Xenopus tropicalis: one gene and its partner. The protein of the gene in region 1 interacts with the protein of each later gene in a pairwise test. Links are inferred from orthologs where the notes say so. Each region holds a gene or a part of one and is shown in the gene's direction. Other genes may lie near its edges.

Region 1 (3,828 bases):
TCATAAGGTGGCCATACACATTACAATAATGATCTTTCCTGCAACCATTGTGCTGTGTGAAAGGCTCCCTGCAATAAGCGGCATCCAGTATTGTGCTGCAATATCTCATATCTAATAATAGTTATGGATTTTCCCATAAAAGGCAGCAGGGGTGATTTTTGGAACTTGGCACCCTTAGCTTTTCTCTGATGGACATCAGCCTTAGGGAGCACTGTAGGCCATGGGCCACATCACTAGGTGAGAGATGTCAGGCACTGGTAGAATAATTCCACAGGCAGTGTGTTATCTGACTGAACCTTGTTTAGGGTACGTGCTATAGCAGTGATGTCTATCGTTGACTCATTGTGGAATACTGTGTCTTAAAGGAACAGTAAAACGATTTCATTTTATGGTGTTAAAATAATTCAAATGTAATGTACTGCTGCCCTGCACTGGTAAAACTGCTGTGTTTGCTACAGTAACACTACTTTAGTTTATATAAATACCCTGCTGTGTAGCCATGTGGGCAGCCATTCAAGCTGGAAAAAAAGGAGAAAAGGCACAGGTTACATAGCAGATAACAGATAAGCTCTGTAGAATATAATGCTTATCTGCTATGGAACCTGTGCCTTTTCTCCTTTGAATGGCTGCCCCCATAGCTACACAGCAGCTTTGTTTACTAAACTATAGTAGTCTTTCTGAGGCAAACACACCAGTTGTACCAGCGCAGGGTAACAGTACATTATATTGTAATTACTTTTATACACATTCATTTTTTAGTATTACTGTTTCTTTAAGTCAAACAGATGGGTTGTTACTTGTTCCAGTCTCTCTGAGCCTCCCTGCATTGTTGTTGTGTGGGCCAGCACAGTAGTGGCCAAATAACAAATGGTAGGCATGCTGCAAAGGCAAATAGTGCCAGTATTCTCCCACTGACTGGGATGTGTATGGCGCAAACACTTGGAAGTAATGACTTTCTGTGCAGACGATGTATGCTCATAACATTTACCATGCATTTGCTTTGTAATTCAAAAGCCACAAAAATACCCCTCTGCCTTTTAAATGTCAAGTTTGTGACAGAGCCGTTAGTTTCATGCTGTGCCTCGGAGCTACTGCCATGGAATAAATGATGTGACTCAGCTGCACCCGAAGCACACTGGAACCTCTTGCTCATTTCTCTCTGAAGTCTGGATCCAGTGCTTAGTGACACAGAACAACCCGTGATTTCCTTACTTGGCTTGTACTGGTGGAATTTGTTGTTATTCCAAGTTACAAGGAAGAGATTCCACTGAACAGCATGACCGCTCTCTGCTCAGCCTCCTCTCCCTTCACTGAAAAATTATTAGGTGTGCATGTCCTGGAGTAGTTTATGGAATGGGACAAGCGCTGAGCAGGCAACTGTCTTATAATACACCTGCTCATTTATTTAAGAGCTTTCACAGTTGCAATGTACCCAGCTAGGCACCAAAGGACTGCAGATTAGCCTCATGCTAATGGCTGCCTGCTTCAATGAGAGTCTGGAGGGATCACAGTATCCTTACGAATATCCAAATCGTATCAGATATTTCATTAGCTAGAATAAACCGTTGATTTAGGGGACAAAGGAAAACAAGATTAATATCCAGGCCCGTACTGGCAATCTGTGGATTCTGGCAAATGCCAGAGGGGCTGCTGTAAGATGCCATAGACAGTCACTATTTAGTGGGCTGATGGGGGGCTGTTTGGGCTTCTGTGTACTTAACATTTTTATTATGTGTTCACATATTGCCCTAGTCAGGGGCAATGCTTGCAGCCAATTTTGGGAATGATATAACACTGGCACCCTCTCCCTTGGCTCATTCACTCACATCTGAGAGATTATGGCCTAACCTCTTTGCAGGTTTCACAAGGTGTTTTATCAGTTTGTGTTATGTCAGTAAGATGCTGTCTTCCATGGTATGCCAGCAGCACAATCACTTGGCACAAGCTTTTACATAGTTACATAGGGTTGAAAAAAGACCAGAGTCCATCAAGTTCAACCCTTCCAAGTAAACCCAGCACACACAACCCACACCTACCAATCTATACACTCACACACATAAACTATATATACAACCACTAATACTAACTGTAGATATTAGTATCACAATAGCCTTGGATATTCTGCCTTTTGCCTTACCCAAGTGTCCGTATGCTTTGTCCTGTCCTTAGGAGGAAGAAAGACTCTGTAGAGAGTCGGCCCACGTGGGTAGATGACACCAGGATTGATGCTGATGACATTGTGGAGAAGATCATGCAGAGTCAAGACTTCACAGACGTCAGCAACAACGAAGGTAAAAGAAGAGAGCTATATCAGCAGCTTTGAGAATTCCTCAGCAGTCAGGGAGCAAAGGAGTGCAATGCACAAGGGCTTGGGTACACAATTCTGCAGACTCCAGGAATGTTCTGGTTTGTGTAGGATATGATGGATCCTGGCATGATTAGTGTAGCAAGGCTTTCTTAATTTTGGCCTCTGTGCTCTTTGTTGTTCTAGTCCCTTCTCCTGCGCTGGGTACAGAGGTTGAATCCTCATTATTGCTGAAGGAAGTTAGACAAAGTGGCATTTTTGTTGCCGCAGAACCTTGCCTTGTCTACCTCCTGTCTCTTATGACAAGTTTAACCTCTGTGCCTGATCTGCTGTGGTATATGAACAATGCAGAAATCTAAGCCCCCAGGAGTATGAGCTTTATTTGCCATATTATGGTGTTTTACAGCTTTAGCTCAGGGGGGTTTACAGGGATTTGCATTTATGTGAGTCCCAAAGTTTCACAGATATAGGTCAGAGAAAGTAAATATTTGTTATACAGGGCAAAGAGAAACATAATGAAAACACATATCCCTGCCCTGTTGCCACAGTTAGCTCTTTAACCAACCCAATATGACCTGAAAGCTTTTAACAGTCACAGTTTAATCCCAACTTCCCATTCTTTTTCAGCAAGAAACAAACAATTGATCATAACCATATACATATATATACGTGACTCCTCTGATGCCACAAAATCTGCATCCTTTTGTTTTTGGCTTTGTTGTCTGTTCTTTGGTGTAATATTTAGAACAGGATTGTGTATAATGCTGCATACTGTGTCTCCTTCTAGATAGTCACCTAAGACTGTTTGTCAGTAGAGATGGATCAACCACTCTGAGCGGGATCCAGCTTGCTAACAGGTAAACAGCCTAAAGCTTAATTGTAATGCCAACCTGCAAGCCTTACACATGACTGGAAATTCCTCCTCCATCATGAAATATGTCTTGTGCCGCCAACGTCTTCAAATAAATAAGGATGGGGTGTGGTCTCACAACTCCCAAATTATTTACTGCTGGGGCCCCAGGAAGGCCTCTATCATTTGCACGTTGCAATGTCAGTTACAGCAAACCCACCACTTGTGTTACTAGTTGCCTTGCATGACACAAGTGGCACTGGGAAACCAGAGTGGGCCGGAATTATGACCGCCGTACACAGCTGGAACTAAGGGGTAGGCAGAAGAGGCACTTGCCTAGGGCACAATGATGGGGGGCACCAGGCAAGTACCTTTTGTGGCTACCCCTATTCCGCGCTCCCTTGTCATTGCCCCTGCCGATTGTCATTGCCCCGCCACCGTGAAGGCATTGCAGAGGTGTGGTAGCCAACCAGGTTGCCTAGGGCTCCTGGTCGGCTTGGCCTGCCCCTGCTGCCCAGTGGTTAATTTTTTACTCACTGTTACAGTGATCAAATAAAAAACTGAACCATGAGATCCTGTCACTGACAATATCATGACACAAAAGAATGTAATAAAGAATGCCTATGTGCCTTAGATGCCACGGGTGCTAAGGAATTGTTGTTTATTAGATGTA
Region 2 (3,828 bases), on another chromosome or scaffold:
TTTTTCAAAAGACTCTGAAGTTGAAGAAGAACTGGATAAAATCTTTAAACAGGGCTATCTCGAGAGGAGAAAGAAAGGTAATGTGGCTGCTTTAGGGGTCTTCATACTGTTGTAGGACCACTATCTCTCTCTCTCTCTATCTATCTATCTCTATCTATTATCTATCTATCTATCTATCATCTATGTATCTGTCTGTCTATCTTTCTATCTATCTGCCTGGCTATCTATCTATCTATCTATCTATCTATCTATCATCTATGTATCTGTCTGTCTATCTTTCTATCTGCCTGGCTATCTGGCTATCTCAAGAGGAGAAAGAAAGGTAATGTGGCTGCTTCAGGGGTCTTCATACTGTTGTAGGACCACTCTCTCTCTCTCTCTCTCTCTCTCTCTCTCTCTCTCTCTCTCTCTCTATATATATATATATATATATATATATATATATATATTATCTATCTATCATCTATCTATGTATCTATTTACCTATCTTATCTATCTATGTATCTGTCTATCTGTCTATCTATCATCTACCTATCTATCTATCATCTATCTATCATCTATCTATGTATCTGTCTGTCTATCTTTCTATCTGCCTGGCTATCTGGCTATCTCGAGAGGAGAAAGAAAGGTAATGTGGCTGCTTCAGGGGTCTTCATACTGTTGTAGGACCACTCTCTCTCTCTCTCTCTCTCTATCTATCTATCATCTATCTATCGATATATCTATCATCTATCTATCTATTTACCTATCTTATCTATCTTTGTATCTGTCTGTCTATCTTTCTATCGGCCTGGCTATCTATCTATCTATCTATCTATCTATCTATCTATCTATCTATCTATCTATCTATCTATCTCTGTCTTGCCTCACTAACAGAAGGCATTGGGATTCAGTAGGGAATGGATTTTCAGAAGACCAACAATACATTACACAAACACACACATCTAAGTACAACTAACAATACATGAGGTCTTCTCCAGGTATTGAGTCCTGTAATATTGAGGGTCTGTCTGTAAATCCTTTGCCCCATCATGTATCCTTCTGTAGACGGCCTTGCCACAAGTGTTATGGTCTTTGGAGCCTCATGATAAATGTTCATATAATGTTTCTTTTCCCCCGATGCCAATAAGATCGTATATCATAATACTTGTTTTGTTTGATACACAGAATACAACTGCTGCATTTAAAAAATCTATATTGACCTGATGTACTTTCTTCGGGAATACTTGAAGTGCACTTTAATCCTCGTGCTCTCCTGTAATTGCCATGTATGATTTCGCCCTGTAGCCAGGTTTCTGATGCTTACTAAAGATAATCATTATGAATAGGAATGTGGAGCGAAGCATGGAAAAACTGGTTCTTGATTCTCTGCGGATCCTGTAGAGAAAGGAAAATAGAACGTATACCCCCAGAATGAATACTTATCCTACAAATAGTTTATATTATATTAAGTGACCTATTAAAGAATCTTGCCAAACTGGAAAATATTTATTAGTAAATATTGCCCTTTTATATCCTTTCCCTTGAGCCGCCATTTTGTGATGGGCTGTGTGCTCCCTCAGAGATCAGCTGACAGGAAATAATGCAGCTCTGTAACAGGAAGTAGTGTGGGAGCAAAAGGCAGAACTCATTGGCTGATGTGACCTAACATGTATGTGTGCCTTGGCTTGTTTGTGTGCACCATGAATCGTATAATTCCTATTTAGGATTACCCAATGGCACATACTACTAAAAAAGTATATTCTTATGAAAATGGTTTATTTAGATGAAGCAGGTTTTACATCTGAGCTTTTTTATGCAATATATTTTTATAGAGACCCTCATTGTTTAGGGTATAAGATCCCAGCTATTTTACCTGCAAAAGTCATTCAGGGCTAAAAAAAAATATTCTGATTGTTGTAACGTTTCCCTTTAGTTAGCCTTGTGTGATATATTCATTGTGGCTTGCCTTTCTTTTTTTTTTTCTAGATCATGGCTTTTTTGGATCGGAGTGGCAGAAGAGGTGGTGTGTGCTCACAACGAGAGCCTTCCTATATTATTCTAGTGAGAAAGGTATGTATGTGTGTATAACTTTATTTATAAAGCGCCACAAGGATACGCAGCGCTGTACAATCTTACAATATACAGAATTACACACAGGGAGGACAAGTGTTATAATAAATACAATAAATAAGTATAAATACACAGGGAGTAAGTGCCATGTGGTATGAGACACAGTGGGAAGGAGGTCCCTGCCCCGTAGAGTCATCAATCTCAGAGAAAGGTAAACAGAAATGGGGTATATGGGGGCTAATGTAAGTTTAAGTAATGCCAAGAGAACGTTTGCTTTGGTCACTGATGGACGGTTTAGAATGCCACCGACTATCACTCTTGGTTATTGCAGGGAAGCAGCCCAAAAATGGTTTCCTCATTAAAGATTCTCTAGCACAAATGATGCCTTACATTCGCAAAGACTCCCGGCGTGACAGTTGTTTTGAAGTTGTGACACCAAACCAACAGGTTTTCCAGGTAAGAGACCAACTCATTTACCAGGTACGGAGCCTAGTGCAAAGTTGGGAGCAAAGTGGCCTGATTTATTGCTCCTTGCCCCAGTCCAATTTAGTGCCCTGAAGTGTGTATCAATGCATTGCGGCCTGCCTTCTGCTGAGATGGGCAACCCTGGGAATTCTGTTAACATGCACATCATTCAGCACAGTGGGGAGCTCCTGGGGACACGGGCTTAGGGTGTCCTTTATTTTATACTCACTTATGATAGGGAACAAGCCCAATGTTTTCTTGTGTCATTGGGTGCTGCGCTCTGCACCAATTGTACAGGGACAAGTATTGGCAGTAAATGATGCAGTTTTGCACCCCTTAGCAGTCCAGAACTTGTGCCTGTACCAGTTGTAAATGAGCCTTTTTTCACTTCCAGAATCCCTAAATTGTACAAGTAATAAAAACTGCTGAGTTTTATTGTCTTACAGTTTACTGCTGCCAGCCCATCCGATGCCAGAGACTGGGTGGAACAAATACAGTTCTTGGTGAAAGGTGAGTCAGTCCATGGATAAAATACAGATTGAGGTAACATGTGGAAACATGGGAGGGACACCTTGGCCAAGTCTCACAAAATCAAACGTTTTTAGACTTTTTTAAAGGGGAACTCCACTGAAACACAACAGTTTTTTGAAAAGTTAAAAAAAAATGTTACAGTAGTTGACTGTCCTCAGCCTGCCTTCAGCCTGCATCCTCCCAATCCCACAATTCCCTGAACATCACAGTGCAATGCATTGTGAACTAGCTCGAGTATAAGCTGATCCGAATATAAGCCGAGGTACCTAATTTTACCTAAGAAAACTGGAAAAACTTATTGACTCGAGTATAAGCCTAATGTGGGAAATGCAGCAGCTACTGCTAAGTTTTAATAATCAAAATAAATACCAATAAAATTACATTAATTGAGGCATCAGTGGGGTATATGTTTTTCAATATTTATTTCAAAGAAAAACAGTAAACTAGCTCTGTAAGCGGAGAAGAGGATCAACAAAAACAATATGAATACTACCCCACGCTCATTGCACATTGGCAAACTGGCAGCAGACCCGATCCCGGAGGGATGTAAGGGGAAATAAATATTGCTAGTGGGAGCCTAGGCCAGGGCACTTGGAGGGTCTGGTTGCCTAATTTGCACACAAAGGAGAGAGGGTGCTAGTCTAGAGGGACCCATGGCACCCGACTCGAGTATAAGCCGAGGGTGACTTTTTCAGCACATTTTGGGTGCTGAAAAACTAGGCTTATACTCGAGTTTATACAGTATGTATTTCCTGGGTGCTGTCTGTAAGCTGTGGAGAA

The links.
Region 2: the proteins of fam102a (region 1) and skap1 interact in binary tests that used the Homo sapiens proteins (3 or more experiments, as listed by UniProt). The two-hybrid records come from large-scale screens. The link is inferred for Xenopus tropicalis from reciprocal best matches to the Homo sapiens genes EEIG1 and SKAP1.

Annotation. Positions count from the first base shown.
Region 1 is NC_030684.2:25,542,753-25,546,580, forward strand, and holds part of fam102a (protein FAM102A), read left to right. Parts: intron 1-2,169; coding exon 2,170-2,291; intron 2,292-3,092; coding exon 3,093-3,162; intron 3,163-3,828. UniProt on the Homo sapiens protein: Key component of TNFSF11/RANKL- and TNF-induced osteoclastogenesis pathways, thereby mediates bone resorption in pathological bone loss conditions.
Region 2 is NC_030686.2:11,787,344-11,791,171, reverse strand, and holds part of skap1 (src kinase-associated phosphoprotein 1), read left to right. Parts: intron 1-11; coding exon 12-77; intron 78-1,968; coding exon 1,969-2,052; intron 2,053-2,383; coding exon 2,384-2,508; intron 2,509-2,963; coding exon 2,964-3,027; intron 3,028-3,828. UniProt on the Homo sapiens protein: Positively regulates T-cell receptor signaling by enhancing the MAP kinase pathway. Required for optimal conjugation between T-cells and antigen-presenting cells by promoting the clustering of integrin ITGAL on the surface of T-cells.